Linked DNA regions of Tamandua tetradactyla. Each later gene encodes a partner of the first gene's protein in a complex. Links are inferred from orthologs where the notes say so. Each region holds a gene or a part of one and is shown on either strand. Other genes may lie near its edges.

Region 1 (6,928 bases):
ACCTTTAGAAGTAAAATGAATACATTTAATTTTATCTTCTTTCTCCCAATAAATACATGGTGCTATTTATAAATAAGGAATGAATGTAGAAAGAATGCCAGTAAATGCAAATAATTTATTATAAGGTAGTTCCAAATTAACAAACATGTATATACTGTGGATAAACACTATAGACCTGCAGCATCCAATTTAACCGAAGACCAAGAATTAGCTAAAAAGCGCACACATATACACAGAAAGATAATCTGGCTTGTCAAATGATTTACTTTTTCATCTTATTCCTGAGCCCTCTCACAAAGAGCACTACAGACAAGAAAACTGCTGTTATCAGAGAACTGATGTATTACAGCTCCTGGCCCACTTCTCTGCTCCATCTGTCCTTACCTGTTGCTTGTCTAGTGCTACCTTGAGAGTCACTACAAACATGACTTATCCTGTTTGCCCCTACTTTTGATTCTAAGTGTAAGCCATAGCAAATGGAACAGATGAATAGAATCCTACCAAATGGATCCTCTCAACCCACTCCCAGAACAGTCTGGATAGCTAGAACAGCAATTCTCAAAGTGTGGTCGAGGAAGCCCTCAGGATTTGGGGGGGAAATGAGGAGCCAACACTATTGTCATCATAATACCAAGATGTTATTTACCCTGTTTACTCTCATTCTTACACAAGTGTTCAGTAGAGTCTCCCAGATACGAGATCACTGTAGACCGAATGCAGAAGCAGAGATGAGAATCCAAATCTCTTTTATTAAGCTACACATTAAAGAGACTGGCAAAACTGCAAAGCAATGGCATTCTTCTCACCAATTTTTGTTTTGGTTTTGAAAAATAGCTATTTTTTATAAAGAATATAATTATCCATGTCCCCCTGTAATGACTTTATTATTTATTTCTAAAAATAAATTAATAAATTTAAATTCTCAGTTTTAATTTATAATATGGTAGATATTGATAGATATACCCCACACAAGCTTCTTGGGACCCTCAACAATTTTTAAGAGTGTGCAGTTATCTTGAGACCAAAAAAGTCTGCTAACCTAGATGATATGGTGGATAGATATTGGATTAGAGCTCAGCTGTACATGCATGTGCAGATTTGGAGAAACACACACCTTCCAATCTACTTATTTATACAGTGGTTACTTCAGGGGGAAAAATCCTATCAGATTTTAAAAACCAAGTTTTATTTAAATCCACTAGAGAGAACTAGGTTGCAAAAGACTCTTATTGAAAATCATAGACCAGAAGGGAACCCCCTCACCGAAAGTTACAAAAGCTAGAAAGGGGTGGAACTGGGACCAGAACCCAATAATTTTGTTGAAAAACAAAATTATCACTTTTACTTGTCATAAAATGGAATTACCATCTATCAGCTCTCTGAAAACCAAGTACACCTGTGGTGCTTACAGCTTCAAAGGGCCATACTGGTATCAATCATATTTGATTTCTATAGTTATTAAATTCAAGTCAGCATTTTGGACATTAGTCACCTAAGAGTGGCACCAGTCATAAATGGTAAACTCTGACGTGATTAGGAATAGACTTTTCCCTTTATAATTTCTTTTTAAGTGAGTTTTTTTTCCATTACAAACCTAACATATATACTGGATAAAAATTAGAAATACCTTTCTAAAATTAGAAATACCAGACTTAAAAGGCTAGCTTAGGACTTCAGCTATAACATGCACATACCAAGGAGTATTTCAGGCAGTTAGTTGGCTGATTACTACAATTACTCCTCTTGTAAGCCAGTTAAAAGAATCATGAGTGCTGTTAAATGAAGTATTATAATAACTCTTGGGACGGGCAACAAATTTGTATGGATGAGGGTAAATAGAAGAGAGGGGGATAAAGGAAAAGAGACAAATTAGACTTCAAGTACTATTTTAGCTATTGCTTTGTACACCCTTCAACTATCAAGGGAAAAGCCCTGCTTCTGCTCTATGGGTTTTCTGCGTGTGTTTTAACTTGACGAAGCAAAACAGACCTCCTGGGACTAACTTTTTCCTTTTCACTGTAGATCACAGGTTCGTTCTTTACGTGTAGGGTGTTGGCCACCTGTTCTTCAACCACCATCTCTACCTCCACCTCCTCCTTTGTAGCCACAGCAATGTCACAGCCCATACATGGGGGAGGGGAGCAGTCAGGAACTCGGCTGCAGATGCATTTTTTCCAAACACAATAACCTCAGACAGTGGTCTCAAAGCACTTTTCTATGCTCTTCCAAACCGTGATCTCTCTTTACCCACACATCCCCTACAAACTGGAAAGGACCACTATCCATCCACCGTACGCTCGAGGGAGAAGTTTAAACCTTCGTCCTAGAGATGCTAGATGCAGCAGAGAAGACAGAAACCGAGGCGGTCGAGCGCTGGGAAGGGAGGAAGAGGTGCGGGAGCCGGGAGAGGGAAGGACGACGAGGGGGAGGGGAGACGGCAGCGCATCAGTAGTAACCACCAGAGCACCCCACCGCCCCACCGGGCAGCTGACCCGGCCCGCGAGTTTCTCCCCGGCCGCCTCCAGCCGCGGCTCTCGGGGAGGAGGAAGGAAGGGGTTCCCCGTCCAGGAAGCAGCAGAAGCGGCGGCCGCCTCTAGCCTCACCCTTCTCAGCCCCGCACCGCCCATTCCTCACTGCCCGCGTCGCCGCGTCCCCGCGCCTCCCCCTGCAGACCTCCGCCCGCCCACCCGCCCGCGGGGACTCCGCGCTGGCGCCCCCTCCCCGCCTCTCCGGAGACCCCTAATTCATTCAGTAGCCGCCGGCCCCACCCGGCGCCGGCGAAAAGGGTCGGGACTGGGGTAGGGGCCCAGAGAGGGTGGTTCGCGCCTTACCTCTCTCCCGCACCTGGGAGCAGCCGAGCCTCTGGCCCCTGCCCGCCGCCTTCAGAGCCTCTGCCTCACTGCTAGCTTCCAGTCCGAAATGGCGGGGGCCCGGAGTACTGGCCGAGCAGCCGCCACCGCCGCCGCCACCGCCGCCGCTGCCTGAGCCGCCGCGGCCGCCGCCTAGGAAAATCGAGCGCCGAGCACACTAATGAGTTCGGGGCCGGGCGGCCGCAGAGGGCAGAGCTATCGATGTGTTCCGCGCTCGATTCCTCTTCAGGCCAGCTTGCGGAGAGAGAGCGGCCGAGGGTGGTGTGGGAAGAGGGAAGAGAGGGAGTCGGCGAGCGCCGCGGCGAGGAGGGGGAGGCCAGGCCGGTGGAGGAGGCCGGAGGCTGGACGGGTGTAAGGGGAAAAGATAGAACGGCCCTGTGGTGGGGGTGGGGGGGCTAGGTGGCCGTGGGTGGTGCCTCGCTGGGAGGTGGGGCTTCTGGGGCTGCGCGCCTACCCGCACCCCACTCCTTCCCGCCTCCTAGCCAGGCACCCGCAGGTTCGGACCCGGACGGAACTGCAGTGGTTACCTGCACGCCAGAGACGTCTGAGCGATCGCAACGCACCACTTACACAGAGAGGCTACAAAAATCCTGTCATCCCTCGGATCGGCCAACAACCGTGCACCTTGAATTACCATCATTTATTGCATGTAAATAAGGGAGTCACCAAATGTGAAAAGTGGCTTCAGTGACTTAGGAAGAAACTAAGCATTCATTACCCATCCTGGGGCTTTCTGATCACTTCATGATTATTGCGAAGATCAGCACTCAGAGGCTGGGAATCTAGTCCCAGGCTCAACAAACATGACATGTGACAAACCTTTTAGTCACTAATCTTAATGGGGGGGGGGGGGGGCGGGGGAAGAAAATGTCTTTCTTGACATTTTTGAGGCCATCAGAAGATCGCTCCAAAACGGGACCTCAAATGTAACCCAATGCCATGAAAGCCCAAGCAGAACACAAACTGTTCTTAAGTAGAAGTGCCCTTGACAGTTAAGGCCTAAAGAGAATCATTCAAACATTAATTAGAAGACTGAAGATTAATCAGTTAAGTTCATGAGTTATCCACATTAAACAAGGTAGCGATTAAAAATGTAAACCTATCCCTAGTCTGCTCTGATTAGATACCTAGAAACATAAATTGTTCTGGAGAATTTTGAAGATTCAGGCGTGGCAAACCAGCACCTATACTTAATATGATCACTCCTCTGAGTTCCAGATCTCTCCCCCTAGTTCATATCATCCAATACCAATAAAATAATTTTTTTTTAAGTTCCAGCTATTATGTCTGTTAAACAATGCCTTACACCAGCTGTCACCCTTTACTTCCTACCGTTTACATGGACTGTTAATCAGCAAGGCTTATTCCTGTCTCCCTTGCCTAGCACCCTGGTACCAGGTAGAAGAGGCAACAGAGAAGAAGCAGAAGGCCAGGAAGGGAAAAGAGTGTGCCTGATCTATAACAAGTATTTGCTAAATGTATAAATAAAGTATTGCAACAATTTCATTGAGTAGAACATTTTTTCTCTATTTTACAGGTGAGGAAACAAATTTGGAGAAGTTAAATATTGAGCTCAAGTTCACACAGCTAAAATGGGACGTATCTTTATGTCAGATCATGTACTCCTGCTCCTAACTCCCCACTGGCCCCCTTGCACTTAACACAAAAGTTCAAGTCCTTTCAAAGACTTAAAAAGCCTGAGAGATTTAACCCCACCCCCCCACTCCTTACCTCTCTGAACTCTCACTCTACTATTCTTCCCTTCCTTCCTCCTGTGAACACACACACTGTTTCCTTGCTGTTCCTTGAACCCTTCAGGCAGGCTTCTTCTGCAGGGAATTTGCATTTGCAACCCGCCATCTGGAACATTTGTCCACTATATATCCACAAAACTTACTCCTTCACCTATTATAAATCTTTGTTCAATGCCTTCTTTTAATGAAGTCTTCCCTAAAGATCATCTTTGATATTGAAATTTCCCCCTCTACCCTCAAATCCTTTCTCTCCACCTGCTTTACTGTTCTCCAGAGCACTCATCACATTCTGATGTACCATATAACATTTATCTTTGTCTCTTTCCCATCAGAATGTGAAGTTCAGTGAGCACAGGGATTTTATGTTTTACTTACTGCTATGTTTCCAGTGCCTACGACAGTCTCTGACACAAATAAGTCACTCAGTAAATATTTATAGAATGCAAAATGAATGAGGCCTTCCTTCTAAACTCTGACTCCACTTGAACAGAGTCACTTTCTGTCATCTCCGTCTTACAAAAGTCAACCTTTAAACTCATCCAGGTCACCTTTCTGATAAACCACACGCTAAGGAGCCTAGAAAAGTGCCTGGTACACAATGTACACAATTAATTTGTATAAAGTGAATGAATTTGCACTTATTTATATGTTGCTTGGTACTGTAGAACATTTATTTTGTGCAACTTCAAGTACATGGTAAGCTTTTGTATTCTCTCTCAGTAGCTAATAGAGTTCTCCCTATAGTTGATGTTCCATAAATCTTAAAAGGACTATAGTTTAGAGGGAGGAAATAGCTTTATATAGCACTTTACGCTAATTATAAACATTCTGGCATTAGCAGAAACCTAATCCGTCCACATGGTCTCATTATATCTAGAATCTCTAGGCTCATGATTCCCAAAGCAAATCTGTGCCCCACTATTCCCTCATGCACCCTACACTCCAACTTCACCTCTTCTGTTTTGCTCCCTCAGCGTTCAGTCCTGCATGCTTTTTAAGGAGCCAAAAGCCCGACCACCACCATTGCTCCCTTTCTTTCTTTACACAGAACTTAGAGCAGTGGTTCTCTAACTTCAGTGCTTCTTGAATCATCTGAGATGCTGGTTAGAAACTCAAACGCTTAGGCTCACTAGAGAGTCCATCCAGTTAGTTTAAGGTGGGCCAGAAATCTTTAACGATTGAGGGGATGTTAGACTGTTGGTTAGCAGTCTGCCCTTTGAGAAACTCTGATGTAGATATTCAAATTCTTCTCATCTCCTCTTGATATCTGTACTTTCTGCTGTCTTTCGGGGTTCCTCTCCCCCAAGCCTGGCCACTGTGTTGAATAGTCTCCCTGGCTCTCCTTTTCTTTGCTCTCCCCAAGGACAATCACACAGACCTGTACTATTATCACAGTGGGAAAAGAGAAAGAGAATAACAAACAAGTATAAACATGGGAATTCCAGGTTGCCCTAAGATGTAACTGAAGTTTCTACTGTTATACTCTTGTGCAAAAGCAGCTACATACACACGTGCACATATGCATATCGTTCTGATCCTGTTTTATGGAGATCATGGTGACCCTTTCCTTCATGTGATAGATACCCCCTTCTGTACATACACAAACTTCAAAACAATAGAAATAACCTTGGGTTAGCTTGGCTCTTCTGGGATATAAAAGGCTGAGATATATTCAGAGTGCTGCAGATGCCAAAGGATTGTTTTAAGGAAACAAGGACATTTTAGAAAACTAGACCATCAGTCAGGGAACTTCTGTTCAGTTCAGGGGTCAACTTCAGTTCTTGTGACCCCAAAGTCCCATTCATCCCCTTCAATAAAAAGCATCTATTGCTCCTTCTTTAGTAGTTTTTCTATTCTCATGAATCAGCATCTCTCTGCTTTTTCATCTATAATCTCAGCTTCTTCTGCTGTCTATGCTTCTACTGACCACTCTCTGTGACTTACATTCAAAAGATCCCTAGAGAAAGGATTTAGCTGCAAATGTCGATCATTATACAAAAGGAAGGTTCTTTATGGGATGCAATTTTCTTTGACAGGCTGCCTGACTGGTGGTTGGACTTCTTTATGTTTGGTGGAGACCATTGCCTTTGTTTATTTGTGAATCTTGGGACCAGAATAGCAGTGCACAGACCAGGGAACTTACACTGGAGGAGCCAACTGTGGAGGTTCTCATGGATTCCACTTCAGAACAACCTCTTTTCTCAGGTGGCTAATTTGTACCACTGAGTAGGTGCTATTTAGTTCTCTTACCCAAGACATTATCTCCTCTGGAAACTTATTTCATTAGACTTTGTCTTCATTATT
Region 2 (6,894 bases), on another chromosome or scaffold:
TGTTGCCTAGATAATTATTATGCATTTACTTAAGTTATAACTGCTTTTTACTTAAGGAGATTCTTGAGTCTCCTAGTATATGTAAACAGCCACTGGCAGCGGAGATCAATGCTTTGGGCTTAATTTTAAATATAAATAAATAATAAATTAGTCAGTAGACAGGTTCTTAATAACTAGTGAAAGACCATTGCTGGAAATGTAAATTGTACAACTTTTCTGAAGGGCAAATTGGTAATACCATATGTATCAGACCCCTAAAAAAATGTACACTATTTGACCCTGTAATTCATTTCTAGGAGTTGATCCAAAGGAAACAATTCAGGAATTTATTAAAAAAATATTCAATCCAGTACTGATATAATAGGAAAAAAATGTTCAACGATCTAAATGTAGAACTAATGGTTAGTTAATACATAAACTGAAGCCTATTTATACACTGCCATTTAAAATGTTAAAGAAATAAACATCATGGGGGAAAGATGTCTATGTACACTACTATACAATTGAAAGAGTAGGTTATAAAATTCCATTTTTATTTTTAAAAAACTAATAGAAAAAAATTTATACGCATATAGCCATATACCCCCCAAGTTATTGCTGGGTGGTGGGAATATGGACGATTATCTTTTTCTCTCTATAGAACTCTGGATTTTCTATGATAAATATTTAATACTAGTATAATTAACAAAATATATTTAAAAAGCAAGCAAATAGAATGTTCATTTCTGTAAAAGCTTAATTTTTCAAGCCCTTGCTCAAATTTAACCTGTGTGGCCCCCTCTAAAAACACACAGGAATGATTTGTCATTTGAATTCTTTGAACTTATTATACCTACCATGCATTATCATAACTATATTAAAGAGTAATTTTTCAAATCTAAATAGTAAGCTCTTCTAAGTCAAAGACAGTGAATAGCTAAAATAGTTTGCTGGTTTTGTGAAACTTCAGGGGATTTGGGGACAAATGATAAGATCCCAGTAGAGATCACTGGGCTGTCAGTGACTCACCTTCACCGCCTGACTCTTGGTGTTGATGGGGGGATTTTTCAGAGCTGCTTGTAGAGCAGCTGTCATATTTCCTGTGATGGAGGTTAAGGAGATAAAAGCAAAGGATAGCCCCTAGGAAAGCACTATAACTACTGATAACCATTGGTTTTTATAACTTGACTTTTACATAAAAAGGAAAAGTTACTATAGTCACTATGTTCACTATTGGAAAATTCAATGTGCCAGTTTCAAAGATGGCCTTCAAAGGTAAACTACTGAAAACAGAACATTACATTATTTTTTTGTAAAGACTTTTCACCTTTGGTTCTAAATAGCAAATGAATACCTTGATAACCTTTCATATTCCCGTGGGAAACATATGCACGCAATATCCAGAGTGGTATTAAACCCTAAAATACATATCAGAATTATTAGGTCCCCTAGCAATCAAAATGTCTTTTTTATGTGATTATGACTAGGAAAAAAAATTAAACTTTTACCAAAACTTTATTCTATAATAGTTGAAATTCTGGTAGAAAATCCTGGTAGATTACCCTGGCATCTCAACAATATTATTAGCATTTCTCAATATTGATGACAGGAGACATCACAGAAAGTGTAATAACACAAACGACCCTTAGGTGGCAGCTTAATTTTTCTGTTTTGGATATATTCTTTCAGATCATTCAAACTGTTTTAGCCCATACCTATTACATTTAGCCTCTTTGAAAGCACCACTGGGTTAGCTACTATGAGAAACGGAAGGCCAATCAGACTATTAGAATGTACAGTCATTCCCCTAAAAGGAAAACCACTAAGTTCACTTATTTCCTCCATCTCTAGTGCTGGGCTCCCTCAGAGAAGGCAGGCTTATCTCCCCTGGTTCATAACAAAGGCTGAAGAGATATCTTTATATTTTAAGATAAATTGATTAAAAATCAGATCCACTGAGAGGACTACAGCACTATTATTTAAGCGTCATACAAATAATCTAAAATAGGCTAAATTAGTCTTACAAAACTTGATTTATCCATCCTAAAGAATGTCAAAAAGAATAATATTTTCCACTTATCTTCCGGAGAAAAAAGTCTGTCCAAAAAACTCAAAGGTTGGTGATAAACTGTTATTTTCAAACTTCTAGCGAAGCATGCCTCTTGTAGATTGGTTCATTTTTTAAGATGCAAAACATATCACAAATATCGAAATAATGCAAAATCGTAACTGATTGTGAAAGTTGAAGAAATCAAGGGAACATATGTACGTTGATAAAGCCAAATATAGTTGTACCAAATATTTCCCCCATTATAATTTAATAGAACATGCATGAGGAAAGAGTATGAAAAGCCTTCCTTCTTTTATGGACAGGAATAATTAGAAAAGCATGAAGTTCAGCCCCCCAAAATCTGAAAAACTGCAGCTTGTATGGCAACATCTACATTTTTCTAAAAAGATATGATGCAAATGCGAATAACTAAATATGATTACTCAAAATACGCAAAACCAAAACCCAGGCACTGACAGTCACATTTTAACTAAAACGGAAACAATTTTAGGGATTCCAAAAATGTTTCTGCTTTATACAAACGACTCCTCTTCAATTTTACTCACGGGAATTTATTTTAAATATATCCACGGGTTCTCTTTAGGTCTTCCCCGTTTTCTACCAACCTTTTCTCGAGCAGGTAAAGCACTCCAAGCTTCCTTTCTTGGGAATTTTGTTTTGTACTCACTCCCCTCCCCTCAGTTAAATGCCCCCCCCTCAGTTAAATTTTGTGCAAGCTGTATTTTGCCAAATCCTTTTTTTCTTAAAAGAAAAAAAAAGGAAAAAAAAAAAGGCAGCAGTAGGTCGTGGGCTGAAAAGACCTAGGATCTCATTCTGCGAACCGCGGTATCCCTCCTGGCAAGGAAGAAACTATTTCAACGCAAGAAAAAAACAAAAACAAACAAAGCCACTAAAGAAACATGCCCTTTCCCCGATCCGAAATTTCTGGAGCGACAGCGAGTCTAGTAAAGACCGTTCTAGGGAGAGCACAGAGAAAACACAGCCCTACCGACAGGCACCTAATTCCTTCCCCAGCGCAGCGAGGGCGAGGCTGGCGAAGCCTGTTCCCCAGAGGCAGGAACTCCCGGAGCAACCTGAGGAGTCCGGGCGCGTGGAAGGCGCGTTCGGAAGGGCAGGTTCCCCAGCCTGGGACCCTGAGGTCTCGAGGCGGCTCTGTTAGAATCGGAGGGAACCTCTCACTCCTCAGAATGGGGCCCCCAAACAGGAAGGTTCCACCCGCGCGCCGCAGGGGCAGCTCCGCGTCCGTCCCGGGAGGGGTCCCTGGCCCTCCGACCCCGCGGGGTGGCGGGGTCCGGAGAGAAGAGCCGGGTGGGGAGCGCGGGGGACGCAAGGATATTGCCGCAGGCAGGAGTCCACCTCGCCTTCGTCCGGCCCGGCCTGGCCGTCGCCTCCGTCTTCCTCGTCCACGAACTTGTTCTCGTCGTACTCATCCACGTCCACCTTCCGGAACCGGGCTGACGACACCGTATTCTTCGACATCCCTGATGCGGACCGACGGCAAAGGCCTCCTCTTGGTGGGGACCGCTCCTCAACAACCCCAACCCAGCAGAATCCGCAGCCTGCGCCTTCACTTCCCTCTTCCGCTCTGGGGCGTCGCCGGCAGCCGCGGCTCAGGCGGTTCTGGGCCTGCGCGGTGGCCCCGCTCCTTCCTCCTTAGGTTCACGCTCTTCTCCAGCCTCCTACGCCCCGGGCGCTGTCCCCAGGAGAGCGCGGCAGGGAGGGAGTGCGCAGTGCGCATGCGCAGACTCTCCGCAGGAAAGGGGCGGGGCTGGCTGAAGGAGGCGGGGGCGGGAGGGGGCGGAGTAGGAGGCAAAGCGAAAAGCGGTACCGCTGCCAAAGGTAACAGGCAATTGGTTGTCCGAAAGCGTCACGTAATCCCGAGGGGGTTCCCATAGAAACGCTTCTCTGCGGTCCAGTCTGGGGGGTCCGAGGTTGAAGGCTATGGGCGCAAGGAGCCGGCGGCCTTGGCTTTTGCTGCTCTCCCGGCTGAGCTGTCATTGGAGTTCTGCGTAAAGTCCGGCTGATCTGGCCTTACCCATGGGGTGAGATGGACTGGTTGCCGGACCGAGTTCCCTGCAGTTGGCAGGAGGATGGGGAGGAGTGGTGTACGCCCGGATGCCCAGCGTCGTTCTAGTTGTCGGAGACATCGCTTCGGACACCGCGCTTCAGGGGACGGTCTTCCCAAGCTAGGTCCCCTCCCCGGGTTTAGAACTACATCGTGCGGCCAACGAGAGGTCCCCAAGGACGGAGTCGAAAGGTCGTATTTTATTTCTCAGTGCTGTGTGACAACATCATGACAGGACCTGCAGAAGCTGAACTCGGTATCGTGTCCATTGGGAAGGAGGGGAAGGTGGCTGGGAGGGGCGGGGGTTGGGTGGTAAAACCGGAGAACCTGTAGAATTTGGTCAGTCATTATTCACATCTTAAAATAGGTGGTGGTTTGGAGCAAGAATGCTAGAGGAGGGTGGGGGCAAGTTAGGCTCTCTGGTGCTGAGGGGAAACAGAATGTGTTAGGATTCGTAGAAATGAGACCCTTAATATTTATATTTATGATATTTATATTGTTATAATATTTATATTATGATTTATATGGTGCTACTAGGCCAGCTTTTTATTATATTTGGCATCCCCATTTCCGAGACTAGAGCTGTTATTGAGGTAAAGCCACTATAAAAAAGGTAGCTGTGCTGTATGTATTACAGTGAAGTACAAATTAATTAAAAGTTCAAATATATGCAGAATAAAATTAATTTGAACATTTAGCTGGACACAGCTCAGGTGGCTTCATATTTTCCTGCCATTCTATCAGATCCAGTTTAGGTCCTCCGTTAGCAGAAGGCTGACTGTTGCCCCTGTTGAATAACTCAATACCTGGTTTTCTGTGGTGTATTGAAAAGAGCACTGGGCTTAGAATCATAAAAACCCAGACTTGAGTCTTGGCTACAATTTATAATCTGCTTGAGGCATGCAATTTAAAATTTTTAATCTCAGGTTCCTCATGCCTAAAATAGGAATAATGGTGTGTATTTCATAAGATTCTTATGAAGATTAAATGCACAAAAGTGTTTTGAAGCGCTAAAATTCTGCATTAATGTAAAATGTATGTTACCTGTACCATTGATTTGGGGACTAGCTTTATAAATTGCTAAATGATATATTATGTTTTAACTTGCCCCCAAAAGAGATTGCAAAATTCTGAAGGACAGACCATATAGATAGATAGATAGATAGATAGATAGATAGATAGATAGATAGATAGATAAATATATATATATTTACCTTTCTTTACATCTGTCATAAAGTTAAGCTTGCAGAAGGTACTCAATAAATGCTTGGTGGAGAAATGAAGTGTGAAAGGCAGTTAGGTTGAAAACATACTGAGAATAATGAATCACTAAGAAAAGGAAGAGAGACCTCAAACCTTTGAGAGAGAAAGAGAGAGAGAGAGAGAGAGAGAGAGAGAGAGAGAGAGAGGAAGAAAGAGAGAGAGAGACATCTCAGGAATTGAATGCATCTTTTTTCCTTGGGAGAGGAAAACAATGTGGTATTTTTCATTTCTCGATTAAATTACCCTTCTAGAAGATATGTCATTTAGGTGACAGAAAGTGGCATTTCTTTAAATTAACATTCAAGTTTTAAACAAATATACTGATACAAACTCCCCTAGGACTGTAAAACAGCAAAGACAAATTTTCTACCTGTTAGTAATATTTATTTTAAAATATCGGATACCAAAATACAAAATTATTGCTTATGGTGAATGGCGTTATATAACTTAGAATAAAGGTTTGTTTTAATATTTGTTCTCAGTTTAAATCTTCTGCTAATTTTAGTAAGAGCTAGACAACATACTTATTTAGATTCTAAAGATGATTGTACTTTTTGTTCTTATAATTCAGGATTTTCTTTGAAGAGAAAATTGAGCATTAAAAGCACTATTGAGAGTAAGTGGCAACAAGGATTCAAGAGTTAATAATCCCTTCTCTTACATTTCTAGTCTTTTGTATTAAGTCTTGTTTAGGAAATCTTTCTATTCTCTTATTTTAGAACTGAGAAAGACTTACTGGGTAAAAATCAACTTAAAGGGAACAGTGAGGAGAATTTTTAAAAATCGAGGTTGCTCAAGGGTATAATGGTTTTTATTGCTCAGAATTTTGCACTGTATGTTGAATGTGTTAAATGTAATTAATTCTTAGCCTCAAAATACATACTACATTTCAGATGTCAAAAAGGTTCTTTTTCCACTGCAGTATTTTTTACTGTCTCACAATGAACTAAGTGCCTAGGTACATAGTTGGTGCTCAATAAGTTTCTATCAAATGAGTTAATGATGTGACAAGTTTTGGAACAAATATAATTTTGGAATTATATTTAAAAACTGAGTGTTTTTGAATAGACATTAATACCCACGTTAGCTAATAGTTAAATCTTTATAAATCTTAGGGAGATGTTTTGTGAAGAGACTCATCCTTAGTTATCTTTTTTTCTTTTAATTAGGAAATACACATTGTACACATTATCCCACTTCCTTGCAAATTTCCAAATGTTTAATGTTAACTATGATATTTAATTCATTGTAAATAATATTAGTCTCCCTATTTTACATTTCAAGATGAGTACTTGACCCTGAACTAAAGAATCCATAAGGTTTTGAGACATTTGATTTTTTATGTAAATAACCTGGTTTGGACTACTACTAAAGCGAGACAGAATGTGAATTTTCTAAAAGTTAATGCTGCATGATAGTATATAGCTCCTTCTAATTTTCTATGATGATGCAAAGTCAAGGGTCTTATTAGTTAGAAGAAACTTTAATAGCATGATCCTATAATAGGTCTTCTCAG
Region 3 (7,083 bases), on another chromosome or scaffold:
GTCAGAGGTCAAGCTACAGGTTGGGTAGAGGAGACTGAGGTTAAGGGTCAGAAGTCACTCACCCTGTTGTCCTCTCTAGTTCATCACTTGGATGAGCTTCAAGGGCTTCCAACCTGGGAAAGGGAAGATAATCTATCTGTCCATTTTCCCTCAACTCCCTGTGGCTTTGGATATTTTGGTGGGATGCTTTGGCTTTAAGAGTTCCAGAACCTCCCATTCCCCTGGCCCATTATGACCCCTGACCTGTCAACAACAAGTCCCAACAGGGCAGGAGTGGAAGTAAAGGCCCGGTGGGTGGCCAGGAAGGCTGAAGTGAAGGTCATGTCAGTCCCTGATGTCCGAGAATCCAGCAGGTGTCTCACCAGGGCCTCCAGAGTGCCAGCTCGGAGTCGTCGGGAAGAACGGGGGGGTGGTGTGGGGGCCTGGGGGATACAGAGGGCCAGTCCTCACCCTTCCCTTAGGTCCCTGGAAATTATCTCAGGCCTAGGAGATGATCCAGGTACATTTTACTGAGATTCAGAGAGGGCAAAAGACTAGGCCTAAAGTCACACAGCAGAGTCCAGATCTCCAAAACATCAGGCTAGCATTCTGGCCAGAGGAAGAGGAACTGAGAGGTGATGGGTCAGAGGTAAGAAGCCAAAGTCATGATCTCACCAGGGGTTCAAGAGGCTGGTATTGGCGACTTGTGACAGTAAAGGTGGCACCATCCTCCTCTTCCTCCCAGACAGATACAGGGACCTGGAGGACCAAGGAAGGGGAGATCAGACAGTCCCACACCACCCCCAGCCTTCACACACCACTCCCAGGCCCTACCCCTTCCCTCAGTATCCCTCACCTGCGAAGGCAGGGGATAGTACCAGCGTGTGCGAGGGGTGGGGGGGGCTGGTGACCCCAGGTCTCCCCCACTGGGGCCCAGACAGCCCCCCCCCAACCGCCTCAGGGCCCGGTGGAATCGAGGGAGTTGGAGAGGAGGGGTGCTCGGAGTGCAGGAACCCTGATCCTGGAGACCACCAGAGCCCCTTCCCCCCAGCGCTAAACCCAAAACACAGCAGAGAAGCAGGATACCAAGTGCAGGCTGAGGGAAAGCGAAAGAGGCAGAGAGGCAGAGACCTAAAGAAGCTGAAACCTCAATCACAGGCACCACCACATGCCCCACCCTCCCCTTGTGAGGGAGCAGCCAAGCTCAGTCAGTCTTTCCTCCAGGTCCCCTTTTCCCCAGGTCTCTCAGGTGGGGCCTCCGCTCTCTTTCTCGCCCTGGGGACCCCCAACTCTAGTTGGCAGCTAGGATCTCAGTACAGGAAAGAGAAGGGGAAGTGAGGATGGGGGGGGCGCGTGCGCTCAAGGAGTCACGTGGCCCCAGTCCCTCCCCTCCCCCCCCCCCCTCAATCCCGAAAAACCAGCCCAGCCAGTCACCCGGCCCTCACCGAGCCTCTGAACTCAGGAGTCCTGGGCCTCCGGCCCCATATCCAACTCCTTGACCCTCCTGAGGCCCCAAATCCTGCTCCTGGTCACCACCATTAGTCCCTAAGGAAAGCCAGTGACCACCTCCTACCCAGCCTAGGATCAGTCGCTCCAGAACTTTGACTCCCAGGCCCTTTTACCTAACTCCTGCTCCGGGGAGGGGGGTGGGGGGCGGGGTCACGAAATCTGCGGGTAGGGTTCCCTCCCCAATCCCAGAGTCAGTGGAGCTGGTTACTGTGGAAACAAACCCCTCCCCACCAAACAAAAAAGGAGGAGGGAGACAGGGACCAAGACAAAGCTGCCGGGATAAGCAGCCGCACTCAGACATAGCCAGAGGCCCGCAGGTACAGCCAGCCAGTCGCTCCAGGCGGGGACAGTACAGCTTCCTGCGCGCAGGTCTGAGTCACACTGATACACAGAACCACAGAGGCGCCGGGACTCCCTGCGTAAGGGAGACGGGCAGACACCCAGCGAGAGGCGCGGAAATAAATTAAAGCAGGGAGAAAGAGATGCAGGGGCACAAAGACACCGAAAGGTGGAGAAGGACTTCGAAATATATACCGCCCTCTACCTCCCACCACCCACATCTCACCTCTTCTTCTTCCTCCTCCTCCTCCTCTTCCTCCTGCCCCCCGCCCACGCCCGGGCCACCCGAGCCCCCACCCTCTTCGGGGTCCCGGCTCCGGAAGCTGCTGAGCACGACTCCCTCGGGGGGACTCGCGTCCAAGAGCAGCCGCAGGGGCCGCGGGAGCATGGCCGAGCGAAGGAATCAGCGGGATCGGGCCATGGGGCGCCTGGGGAAGAGACAGGGGTGGGGTGTGAGGGTCAGGAGGTCACGAGGGGGCCGGGCAGGGTAGGACCGCGAGTGAGCATCTAGGTAACCGGAGGGGAGTCTTGGAGGGGAGGCTGGGGGAAGAAGGCAACACAGGGGAGGAATATGGGGATTCCTGGTGCATTTTGGGGATGAGGGGGGGTCACGAGTACCCGGACGGACAGGGAGGGTCACAGGGTGCTCAGGCTCTAACCTGCTCGGGAGGGGCGGGGGCAGCACAGGTCCTGGGCCGCTGTTCCAGTCGGTCTCCAGCCCCGGACCAAGTCCCCTCCCCGGCTTTTCCGTACCCCCTCGGATTCCCCTGCTGGGCTCCAGGGCCTCCCGCCCTTTCCGTCCTATCTCCCCACCCCACCCCACCCCCCCCGCCCCGTGTCCGCTCGCTCCTAGAGCAGGCGGGAGCCAAAAGGGGAAGGAAGTGAAGACAGGAGCCAGGGCCGCGGACTAGGGGAGCGCCGACTCCCAGGGTCCGGGACCCAGGAGCCCTGGCTTCCACCGTGGTCCTCCGGCCCCCCACTCCAGGATCCTGGAGCCCACGTCGTCCCGCAATGAATTGGGATAGATTCCAGTCTCCAGTCCCCGGGGAAGGCAGGAACCGAATTTGCCTCGCCACCAACACCACCACCAACAACAACAACAAGGCTAAGACCCCCGCAGGAAGCGTTTTAGGCGGAGACCCGGTTATTCCGCGCCAGCGGGGTTACACTTTCCACACCCACCCACGCATGCAGCGGACCAAAATCCTGTCCGGGATTTTTGAGTAGTCCTCGGTTCCCGCCCCCTCGTAAAGGGGCGGGGCAGGAAGCCGCCACTTCCGGCTCCAGGGTTTCCGCTGCTTGTGGCCGGGATCTCCGCAGCTTTTTGGTTACCCGGGACACCCCGCTTCTTGAAGGCCCCCTATTCGTCGTTAGTGGCGTCGGACCTCAAATTTTCTCGAGGAGAATGGGATTGGATAGTTCCCAGGCCTTTAAGAGGTCAGGGTGGTTAGGGCAAGGGTGACTGGAAGGGTCATTGTACTTGGAAAGGGGGGCCGCGAGGAGGAACTTGAGAAACCTCGTTAGAAGCACGGAAACACAACTTTATTCCTGCAGGGTTTGAGCCATTTCTCCCGCGGGCGACCTGCTCCCCCTAAGGTCCCTACGCCGAATCGCACCATCCGTCCTGCAGTATCCTGCAGCTATTTGATAAGCATTTTCCCATGAGCGCCAGACCCCGTGCTGGTGCGGGGAAAGAGCAGTGGACAGATAGGCTGAATTCGAGGAACCGACAGTTCGGGAGGGGATACACGCATTTAACAACAGCTCTCACAATCACTTAAATACAACCATGGTGAAACGTACAAGAGGGTCACTAGGCTGCCTGGGTAATGCCAGCGACCTGGTTTGGGGGCCCAAGAAGGGCAAGGATGGGCCTGGCAGGAGGAACAACGTCCTGGGACCCGGACATGGGCGGAAGACATTTGGCTCTTTAGAGGAAAGGAATGGCCGTGGGTATGATGAGCACTGAGAGTGGGTATGGAGAGCACCTAGTGGTGTTGGAGAGGTAGGCAGGTTCCCAAATGCTCCCGGGAGGCATGGGCTTGGGCAGGAAGGCTGGATTCAGCCCCTAGAGCAGCGATTCTCAAATTGTCTGGGCATCCCAGAGACTATTTGAGGAGTTATGCGAGGTTAAGACTATCTTCATAATATTTATTTTGTTATTTGCCTTTTTCACTCCTCTAAGTGTACAGTGGAGTTTTCCAGAGGCCGTATGATGTGCATTCACATCATTGCTTTCACTTATGTTATTGTGTTTTAAGTTCTGTTTTAATTCCTGGTATGGTAAATATCAATAGTTAATAACCCACATAAGCAAATGCTCTTTAGGGTCACTGATAATTTTGAAGAGGTCCAAATGCTAAAAAGTTTGAGAACCACTGCCCTAGAGCTCTAAGAAAATGACCATCATAAGATTTGTATCTTTTAAAAAAGCACTCCAGCTGCTCAGTGGAGAAAGAATTGGAGGGGGTAGGAACAGATGTCTTCTTCAGCAGCCTAGGTCAGAGAGGATGGTAACTTCAGCAAGGTAGTGGTGGGGAGGGTACCCTCACTGTGCTTTCTGGAAATAGAAGAAAGAAGGAGGTGAGGAATTCAGGGTTTGAAGGCAAGGAGAGGTGGTAAGGCTTAGTCCAGAAAAACATGAATCATCATGGATGCACAGAGGGTGGAGCTCATATTGTGTGTTTTCTGTCTGCCAGACACTGTGCTGAGTGCTATATATGCACCCTCTCCTTAAACAGCCCAGTAGCTCTCTGAGGCTGCACTGTCCAGAAACCACTACCCTCATGTGGCTAATAAGCATTTGAAACGTGGCCAATCCAAATGGAGATATGCTGAAAGTATAAAATAAACACTTGTTTTGGGAGATTTAGTACAGAAAAAAAAAAGACTATGATTCCTTATATTGATTACATATTGAAATAATGTTTTGGATATACGACATTAGACATTTTTAAAATTAATTTCACCTGTTTCCTTATACATTTTTTCAATGTAACAAATAGATTGATTAATTGGACAGCACTCCCTAAGTAATTTTTGTTATCCTGATGTTATAGACATCCAAGGAAACTGAGAGCTGAGCTCTAGGTTAGGTAACTTAGTAAAGGGGTCCTATAGTTCAAGATGTTAGTGGCAGAATTTAACCTAGGTCTGTGTGGATCTCAAGTCTGCATTCTGCTCACTACACTAGTAGCCTCCCTCCATGATGGGTTCAGGGGAGGGGATAAAATTAGAAGGGAAAGATAAGGAGAGGTGGGGATGTAGTTACCTTTTGTTTTGAATCCGTGGAAGTGGACCGACAGGCAACTGTGGAGAGAGTTTGAGGGGTGGGATGGAAAAGTGGTAGGGGGGGAAGAGCATGGGGGGGGGAGAAAGATGAGTGTTAGGCTTATGGTAGTGGGTGGGAGAGTCCGCGAGTCGGGGGTCACGGTCGGGGTGGGGCTTACTCACCGATCCAACCCAAAACCTTGAAAAGCCCGAGGAGGAGAAAGGCAGACAAGAAGAGGCCCACGCCGTCCTCCAGGGAGGGCCCGGAGAGGCCTGGCAGGCGGAAGGGATGAGAGTGAGCTCCCTGCTATCCCGGACCCCCGCCCCCAAGCGCTCCCAACTCTTACCTGCCACCTCCAAAGTGACCTCGGCGCTGCGCCCCAAGGCGGGCAGACTGGGGTGGTGGACGCGACAGGCGTAGCGTGCCCCATGCTGCTCGACAGTGGCCGGGGGCGGCAGCAGGTGCCCAGAGAGGCTGACAGAGCCATCCGAGTGGTGGCGCAGGGCAGAGAGCCACCTCTGGCCCTTGACCTTCCGAGAACCGCCCTCGGGGCCACCGCGGAGTTCCCACTCCAACTCCAGGCCATTGGAGGGGTAGAAGTGGGACACAAGGCAGACCAATTCAGGGGGTGCCTCCCCCGGAGCAGCCCATACCAGAGGTGTTGGCGTCAGGGACACTTTAGGGGGTTCTGGGGAGAGAGTAGAAAACTGGCATCGGAGTAATCAACCCACGCTATCCTCCCTCAGAGATCCTTAATTTGCCTTCACCCTCCCCAAACCTGAGAGGGTTTGGGTTTACTCCCCCAGGATGGGGAGCCCACTGTCTCCCCATATAATAATATGTATTATCCTTCACATAATTACCCATGCCAAAGCCCCCCAGATTCCTAGGGACTCCCATCCCTTCCCATTACCTCTCTGACTCCCAGGGATCCCTATCCATCTCCTCTCACCTAAGCACTCTTTTCTCCATCCTCCTCCTCTCGGTGGTCCCTTAATACCAGTGCCCACTCCCAACCATGGGAACACTTGCCTCCCTCCTACTCACTGTACACAGCAAGCTCCAAGGTGACCTGTCCTTGCAGATATGGCAGGTGAATGGTGGCCAGGTAGGTGCCCTCCTGGAAGGGTCGTACTGCAGGCAGCTGGAGGGTCCCATTTCCGGTCCATGGGCCCCACGGTTCATCGTCATCCCAAGCAGCAAATGCCACTGCCCCCTCTCGGGCCACTGAATTCTGCCCATCTAGCCCAGGGGTTGCAGTAAGGAGCAGTCGCCCCTTACCCAGGTGCTGGCGTCGCCACTCTAGCCCAAAGGGAGGGGGACCCCGGGTTGGGGATGTAGCCTCAGGGGTGGGGGGCATGTATGCGAAGCTCAGGTCCAGCATGACATCCTGGCCCAGTCGGACCTGAGGAGTGGGAGTGTGGGTGAGGACAGTCAGCACCACTGGGGAAGATGGGGGTGGGGTTCCGAGTGGGAGGACACATGGGAGAGAAAGGAGGGGAAAAAAAATAGAGAAATGGAATTACAGGGAGAACTGAGCTCCAGTTTACTCACCCCTCAAAGAATACCTTCTTTCCTGATGCACACCATTTCCCAGTCCTCCCTGCAAATCCCCTTAGCTCCACAGCTGGGACAATAGGGGCAGTACATGGGTGCAGCCCTTGAAGGCTGCTCTGTACATGCAGCCCACTCAAGCTTTCAGACAATGGGATCTGAGGGTACTTCCAACACCTCGTGAACCAGTCTCCACGTGCTACCCTTGAAGAGCTGAGCCTTTCTTGGTTGCTGTTGAAGACAGTGGTGACCCATGACCTGCAATCCTTTGGTGCTGGACGGAATATCTATTGACTCTGGAAGGTTCCAGCTCGAGCCTAGACCTGAGTACAGACCTCCATGTTCTACTAGGGCAGTGGAGAATGAGGGTTAAGTGCCTGGAACCTGGCTGCCTTGACTCAAATCCCAACTCTGCAGTTTATTTACATGGC
Region 4 (6,939 bases), on another chromosome or scaffold:
GAGGGAAGGGGCTTACCCGATCTGTGGTGGATGCAGTGGCGGCCGAGGGATTCCCTGGTCGCTGGATATGTGGAGGAAAGAGGAGAGAGGAGGCCGGGTCGCCCCTGGCCAGGCGGGCAGCACCCGCACTCTTCTCCCGGGTTTTGGGTACCAAAATGTAAGGTTAAGGAGGCGAAAAGAGAGAAGAGACGGACCAAGAAACTTTAAAGTGAGCGAGTTTATTCTGCGCTCCCGGGCAGAGCTCACAGAGCGTAAGGTAGGGAGTTGTGAGTTTGCCGCTGGGTCCTGGTGCGGGCGGGTTTTAAGCAAGGGGGTTAGGTGACGTCTAGAAGGGGCGGCACATTTTACACAGCTCCAGTCTTGGTGACCCCTGTTCCCCCGACCTAACAACCGTGTATGGTGGGAGAGGGTTAGGTGGGGCTGTGGCGCGTGGGGTTGGAGAAAAATGGGTCTGAGCAGTCCGGGCAGATGGAACGGTGTATGAAAAAGACAGAAGCAGAAAAGAGATGGATGTGTAGGAGCCAACAGGTTGCTCATTTCCAGTGGGAGATACAGTTGGAAAGACAAGTGTTGGCCCGAGCGTTCAAGGCCATGAATTCCAGGCTAAGGACTCTGGACTGTTGAAGAGCCAGTGGAGGCTCTTGAACAGGAGAGTAACGGGTTCTGAAGGATGCTTCAGGAAGAAGAGTGCGGTCACTGCACGGGAGGGAACCGCGCAGCGCGGTCCAGGCCAGCCGCGTGCGGTAAAGCGCCGAGTGCGCCCTTCCGCCTGCAGGGGGCGAGCTGTGGAGCCAAACGCTTTCCCCGCCCCCTTCCTCAGTGTCCCGGTTCCGACTTGCACGCTCGAAGTTCGGCTAAACCTCCTGGACGCGCCCTCTTCGGGCCTCGGCTAGTCCGCCTGGATTCACTCCCGGGCGTCCCGTCCGCTTTGGCGCGGGGCTCTTGGGTCTGAAGAGGGGCGTGAGCCGCAGCCTCGGCGCCTGCGCCGTGGCGCCGCAGTTGGCTGGTGAGGCTGACGGTAGGGGGCTTCCGCGCCACGGCGGTGCTGACTGGTCTCACGTCCGTAGGTGTTTTGTTTTGTCCCAAGAAAACGAGAAATAGGCGAACAGTGCGGAGGAGCTGGAGTGCTCCCTGACTTTAACGGCGCCGAGCCTGGCCCCACTGCCCCCTTGTCTTTCAGCTGAGAAGCAATGGGTGTCTTCACCGCAAATTTCCTCCAGCTATTTGCTCTCAGCCTGCGGCCTAAATATCCATACTAGTGAAAACCTGCCCCGGTCTCTGAGCTTGTCCAGTCCAGGCTGAAATCCGTAGTTTTGGAGCTGGTTTCCCTCTGCGATAAAATCAGAGACTCGGAGTTGGGGAGCCAGTGGGTGAGAGGCATTTTCCGAGATTTTCAAGTCCAACCTCTTAGCCCTTCTCGATATACCGCGTGAGTGAATGTGTAGTTGTAAACCTCCGACGACTCCCCGTTTATGTAGTCTTCTTCTTGGAAGTTTCCTCCATACAACTTTCACCCTTTCAAAAATATTTATTGAGCACCTACTATGTGCCAGGCACCGTAGATCTTGGGAGTGCAATGCCTACTATACACACACGATTGCTGATCCGCTTGGTGTTTACATTTCAGGGGGAGGGGAGAGAAGTGACAATAACCAAAAAATAGGCTGTGATAATAGGGCTAGCAAGGAAATAAATAGGGTTTATTGTAGAAAAAAATAAGCAGGAACTATTTAGAGTGATCAGAGGAGGTGTCTTCGGATGTGAGGTTTAAAACTAGCCAAGTGCACAGCTAGGAGCAATGAGTTCCAAGCTGAGGAGAGAGCAAAGCCCTAGAGGCAGGGAAGAGGTTCGTGTTTTCTCGGAGTGGATGAAAGGCCGGTGTGACTGAGTGGGATAGTCAAGGTTGAGAAAGTAAGCAGGAGCCAGATGCACGACTTTGTGGGCCATAGTACCTTGGAGATGTAATCTCAGAGCAACGGGAAGCCCAAGGAAGAGTTCATGGCAGAAGAGTGAGCTTAGATCAGTCGTTTAGAACCATACAAACCAATTAGTTTTTCATATCATAGTCCTTTAGGTATTTGAAGATGGCTGACATGGTATCCTCTGAGACCCCTGCTTGTGCCTCCAATTCCTCTCCAAGCTAAGGTTTCTTTACTCCTTATTCAGAGGGTTTATGGACAGATTTCAAAATGTTATTTTGGCCCCTTTGAAAGTGTGGGAACATTTTAAACATGTAAATCATGTGTGACCACTTTAAAAGGAAAGGACCAAGACTTATTTCAGATCCACGAAGAGGTCCTTTAAAGATTAAGAGCCACTGCTTAAGCATTTTTCATCAATGTGATCCTGGCAATTCTCAGAGATAGAGTAAATGTCACCTTCAACCCGACTCCTTCTCTAAATGAGATCTCATCTGTGAAACGAGAACAGTAGGGTTGCTATGAGGATTAAATAGGATAGTGCTCAAAATGTGTTTAATGATAAATCATGAGACGGTTACAGAGTGCCACTGTTATAAACAAATATTTGCATGCTAGGATGGGGAGGCAATTTAGAGATCATGCTCCTTTAGCATTCCACAAACATCTACCACGAGGCTATTCTGTGTAGAGCTCCTGGTGAAAAAGATCTGCTCTTCCAGGAGTTTATTATCTAGTCTAAAGAGTAAAGATACAAAATACTATAGACTAAATGTCCTGAGAGGAGCATGAGTAAAGTGCTCCCGGAGCTGCAGAACAGGTCTGTTTCCACTGAAGGTGAGAGATTATTGGAGAAGTGCATATTTGAAATGGGTTTGAAAGATGAAATGACTGAATCTGAAAACACATAACAGAAACTCAATACTACGTGTCCACATTTTGTCCTGTAGGTATGTGGAAAGACCGACTGGAAACACTGCAATCATTTCTACCACCCCACGAACATTGAACACTTTGTTCTCGTGAGAAGGGATCCTATCTTTTGTCCAGTCTGTTTACTATATCGTACATGTTCTGGGCAGTCCTTATCTTCACGGTCGGGGACAAAGTACACATACGCTAAAACCTCGGAACGAAACGAAAGGCCCAGATCTCTCCAACACCCAATGGGGGCCGCTTCACCGTAGGTCGCCGCCGCCCCCTGGCTCCCCACCGCCGCAGGGCCGCAGTCCGCCCGGGGTCGGACTTCTTGGGGACCCAATCTGCCTGGGGTCGGAATTCTTGGGGCCTCTCCGCCCCTCCCCGGCAGCCCCCTGGGCTGCAGCGGCAGCACAGCCCGGAGCCCTCCCTCCTCCGCACTTCCCTCGGCCTTCACTGGAGAGGCCGAAAACCCGGAGCGAATCGACCCAGCCCGGCGGCGCATGCTCAGTGGTGAGCAGGTTCAGTTCGCAAGTAGGAAGCTCGAGGAGCGTTACACCGGTGTCGGCGGCGGCGGCGGCGGCACCACCTCACTGCGGCCGGATTCCCCAACAGCGATCCAAGGCCCTTCCCCTCCCCCGCTAGACCCCGGCCCCAGCTCCGCCCCGCCCGGGGCCTTGCGCGTTTCGGGGTCCCAGCTGCTCGCAGTGGGAGCCTCGGCCTGAGCGTCCTTCCACACACCCTCCCCCTCGCCGCCGGCTCCGCCGCTGGGCCAGGCCGGGCCCAGGAGCGCCGCCCCGGCGGGCAAGCGTCGGTCGCTGCGGAGGGCAGCCCGGGGCGGCGCCGGCGGGCTGGGGAGGGGTGGGGGGGCTCGGCCCTGGGGCGGTGGTGCGGCATGCCGCCGCCTCCGGGCTGCCTTCACTCTCCTCGGCTAGTGCCAGTGTCGGGTAGGTGGCCGCGCGCGGGCCTCGGCCCCCAGCCGGGCCGTCAGGGCTAGCCGGGCCGCGCGGCGCCCCGAGGGGGCCGGGCTGTCCCGCGGGGTCGCGGCCTTGCTCGGCGCGGCGAGCTCGCCCTCTCCCTCCGCGGTCTGGTCGCCGCCGCCGCCGCCGCCCCCCTCCCAGCCCAGAGGCGCCCGGGGGGCACCATGCAGGCGCAGCAGCTGCCGTACGAGTTTTTCAGCGAGGAGAACGCGCCCAAGTGGCGGGGTCTGCTGGTGCCTGCGCTGAAAAAGGTGAGGAGCGCGCGGGACCCCGCTTCCCAGCTGCATCCCCGGTGAGGTTGCCCGGCCGGGGCAGGGCTGGGGAGGCGGGGCGCGCTGGGCTGGCTTTCTTCCCGTTCTCACCGCCTCTCGGAAAGGACAGTGCGCACTGAGAGGGCCCCCCACACTCGGCTAGTCCTCGCCGTTGACGTTCGGCCGGTGTGTGGGAAGGCCGCAGGGCGCCACGGAGATTTCGTAGGAATCCTCCGACCGCTGAGAGATTAATGCCCTGCGCCTCGATTCGAAGGCTACAGTTGGAGGAGCCTCAGTTTTCCGTGGAGGTCAAAGCAGGCCAGTTTTCCTCCGTCTCCCCCTCACCCGGTAGCTGCTGTCAGCCTTCTGTTTTACTGGGCTCGAGAAGTGCTCTGGCCCTGATGCTTACTCTGATGGCACAGCTCGCCTGCCAGCAGGAGTGGGGACACGGCCTGCTCCGCTCGCCTTCAGTCTTCACTCCCCATTCTCCTGAATCCCCCACCCCTCGGGTCAACCCGGGCGCCTGCAAAGGCCACTCTTCAGATTTTTGTGGTCGTTGATTGTTCGAGAATCTTGGTACTAGTTTTTGGTTTGTCGATTGCAAGTGTTAACCTTTTATGTGCTTTTTCTTTTTTCTTTTCAAGTGTGCCACACTTATCTAAAGTTATCTAAAGTTATATCCTACGATCTGTTCTTTTAAATGTTTTCGTATACTCTGGTTTCTCTTCAGATCGTTTAAGTATTCTAGTATAATTAGGAAATGTTGCTAATTTTAAAAGTTTCCTTAAGCAATGTTGTCACTTTAAAAACACATATTCTATTAAAACCTCAGAAATTGGTGTATTTGAATGGATTTAAAAGCAACCAGAGTACTTTTTGTTTCCTTCATTTACCTTTTTATAAGTATAGAGATTATTTTCCTCTTTTAATAGTATTTCAAAACCCTAATTTTTTTTTTGCCCAAAGAATGTTTTGTGTTATCTGTTAAAAAAATATATATGTACATATTTGCTCCCACTGAGAATTAAGATTACAATGTTCCTTTTGTACTAAACATTTGTGCTTTTTAAAAAATGCATCTTAAAAGATGTCTGCTATTTCTCAAAGGCTAGAAACTTTTACTTTCCCTTTTGTCCTGTTCTTAACTGCCTTCCACCCTCCATCTCTAACTGTAGAAAAATATGCTCATATAGTTCAGATTTAAGTTGCCGCCCTTTTTTTTCAAGTTTGATTAGTCATAAATATTTCTGTGATTCTGTTTTCTAAGAAGACCAAGGAGTTGATTTACAGAATATATCTTTTATTCATTAGAAATACCATCAGGTTTTCACTTTATTTACGTTTGCTTTACCTGAAAGCTTGGCCTGATAGCTTACAACAGAAAAGGGAGTAGGAAAGGCTAGAAGATATTCTGACTGGGAGGTAGACAGAAAAACTGTTCAAAACATACAAAAAAAAAAAAAAACCTTAGAGAACATTAGCAATTTGGGGCTGTTTTGCTTTAGAAGGACACAACTCCTACTCCAAGGGAACCAAAGGGTCATATGGCAGGATAGAAAAAGCAGTGTAGAAATTGGCAGACCTGGTCTAACTGCTGTGCTGGTGGGCCTTGCTGAATTCTGTCTACAAGAACATTTCGTTTGGCTGTTATTATTTGTATGCTGTGTGGTGGGGGTCACATTTCATTCTTTTCCATGTGACTGTCCTGTCATTGCAGCACCAGTTGCTGAATGTTTTGTTTTGTTTTTCCAGGGTTCATGGGCTGGGAATCAAACCCTGGTCTTCTGCATGGTAGGCAGGAATTCTATCTCTGAAATACCAATTAGCTGTTATTTTCAAATGTAATTAGTTGCCAGTATTTAAAAATGGGAGCATATAAAATCTAAATTTTGAAACTTTCTTGACGAGCAGAAAGATCTCTCAGTGTTGGGTCTACATTCATGCAAGGAAGTATATGACTGGAAATTAGTAAATGGCTGCCCCCTTTAAATAGAACATTTATCTCCAATTACCACAGTCCCCACCAGTTCATCTGGCGTATTTACATAAACCAGTGTTTGACTTTTAGCAAAGATACGTAATAACAGTAGAAATGTTGGTGAACAGGTGTAAGTGTATACAATCTAGCTGATATGTAAGGTTCTTGGAATTTCTCATTCAGACACCAACTAACAATGATTCTAAGCCACTTAAGAAAAGATTGAAAGTATATTTCATATTTGGATGTGTTTTTCGGAACCCAAAACCTGCATTTTCACTTGCCTCCTGGATATTTCATTTGGATATTTTCACATCTTGAATTCATCCTTCTGACCTAACACAAGATGTGCCCAACTTGTGTTCTCTTACCTGAGACTGTTTGGACATGCTGTTCCCTTCACCTGAACTGCCCCTCTTTGCCTGGCCTAACATTGCTCCTCCTTCTGGACTCACGTTCAACTTGAGAGTTCTTAGGACTGAGTTGGATGTCCCTCCTCTTTTTTTTTCTTTTTTCTTTTAGCACCCTGCCCTAGCAGTTAACAGTGAATTTTAAGTTCCTATTTATTTCTGTCCCCCCAACTAGATAGGTTGCTCCTTTAAAACAGAAGCATCCTTTTATCCCCCATGTAAATATTGCCTGGCACTGTTTGGCACTCAGATTATTTGAATGAATGGGCAAAAGGATATTGTGTACTTGTACTTCTTTCATATCCTTTAAATGTAGTACTTTCCAAACTAAAGTCATCACCTCTTTCCCTTCCACTTACTCCCCCCACCCCCCCACCTTTTTTAGCATGGAATTGGTGGTGGTCACTGATGTAGCTTCATCCTGGTTTTCTGACTAGGTTGCCTACTATAACCTTTCATGTTCTTTATGCTTTAGCTAGGTAG

Evidence for each region.
Region 2: the proteins of KRAS (region 1) and RGL1 are in contact, whole or in part, in a crystal structure (PDB 7SCX), measured with the Homo sapiens proteins. The link is inferred for Tamandua tetradactyla from reciprocal best matches to the Homo sapiens genes KRAS and RGL1. Residues at the interface, in NP_001356715.1 of Homo sapiens: Ile24, Gln25, Glu31, Asp33, Pro34, Thr35, Ile36, Glu37, Asp38, Ser39, Tyr40, Arg41, Leu56, Tyr64, Met67; in NP_001284600.1 of Homo sapiens: Ile651, Arg653, Asn660, Gly661, Asn662, Met663, Tyr664, Lys665, Ser666, Ile667, Met668, Lys685, Asn687.
Region 3: the proteins of KRAS (region 1) and RGL2 are in contact, whole or in part, in a crystal structure (PDB 8B69), measured with the Homo sapiens proteins. The link is inferred for Tamandua tetradactyla from reciprocal best matches to the Homo sapiens genes KRAS and RGL2. Residues at the interface, in NP_001356715.1 of Homo sapiens: Ile24, Gln25, His27, Val29, Glu31, Asp33, Pro34, Thr35, Ile36, Glu37, Asp38, Ser39, Tyr40, Arg41, Lys42, Tyr64; in NP_004752.1 of Homo sapiens: Ile651, Arg653, Glu660, Asp661, Gly662, Ser663, Val664, Tyr665, Lys666, Ser667, Ile668, Leu669, Lys685, Lys686, Asn688, Arg689.
Region 4: the proteins of KRAS (region 1) and SOS1 are in contact, whole or in part, in a crystal structure (PDB 8BE4), measured with the Homo sapiens proteins. The link is inferred for Tamandua tetradactyla from reciprocal best matches to the Homo sapiens genes KRAS and SOS1. Residues at the interface, in NP_001356715.1 of Homo sapiens: Ser17, Ala18, Ile21, Gln25, Asp30, Glu31, Tyr32, Pro34, Thr35, Glu37, Tyr40, Asp54, Ile55, Leu56, Asp57, Thr58, Ala59, Gly60, Gln61, Glu63, Tyr64, Ser65, Ala66, Met67, Arg68, Asp69, Gln70, Tyr71, Arg73, His95; in NP_005624.2 of Homo sapiens: Lys602, Trp809, Thr810, Lys814, Leu822, Met824, Ile825, Arg826, Thr828, Thr829, Thr832, Leu833, Leu872, Val875, Ser876, Asn879, Ser880, Ser881, Pro882, Tyr884, Ser908, Asp910, His911, Tyr912, Lys913, Phe929, Phe930, Gly931, Ile932, Leu934.

What each region holds. Positions count from the first base shown.
Region 1 is NC_135333.1:88,116,126-88,123,053, forward strand, and holds the start of KRAS (GTPase KRas), read right to left. Parts: upstream 3,006-6,928; 5' UTR 2,832-3,005; intron 1-2,831. UniProt on the Homo sapiens protein: Ras proteins bind GDP/GTP and possess intrinsic GTPase activity. Plays an important role in the regulation of cell proliferation.
Region 2 is NC_135330.1:38,563,992-38,570,885, forward strand, and holds the start of RGL1 (ral guanine nucleotide dissociation stimulator-like 1), read left to right. Parts: upstream 1-3,880; 5' UTR 3,881-4,371; intron 4,372-6,894. Other genes in the region: ARPC5 (actin-related protein 2/3 complex subunit 5), read right to left, coding at 1,009-1,090, 3,387-3,529. UniProt on the Homo sapiens protein: Probable guanine nucleotide exchange factor.
Region 3 is NC_135331.1:89,235,709-89,242,791, forward strand, and holds the start of RGL2 (ral guanine nucleotide dissociation stimulator-like 2), read right to left. Parts: upstream 3,004-7,083; 5' UTR 2,487-3,003; intron 2,256-2,486; 5' UTR 2,216-2,255; coding exon 2,054-2,215; intron 1,636-2,053; exon of another isoform or gene 1,602-1,635; intron 1,547-1,601; exon of another isoform or gene 1,425-1,546; intron 1,358-1,424; exon of another isoform or gene 1,111-1,357; intron 739-1,110; coding exon 655-738; intron 423-654; coding exon 244-422; intron 114-243; coding exon 63-113; intron 1-62. Other genes in the region: TAPBP (tapasin), read right to left, coding at 4,376-4,387, 5,099-5,136, 5,281-5,370, 5,445-5,786, 6,146-6,541. UniProt on the Homo sapiens protein: Probable guanine nucleotide exchange factor. Putative effector of Ras and/or Rap. Associates with the GTP-bound form of Rap 1A and H-Ras in vitro.
Region 4 is NC_135343.1:10,348,699-10,355,637, reverse strand, and holds the start of SOS1 (son of sevenless homolog 1), read left to right. Parts: upstream 1-3,938; 5' UTR 3,939-3,981; coding exon 3,982-4,068; intron 4,069-6,939.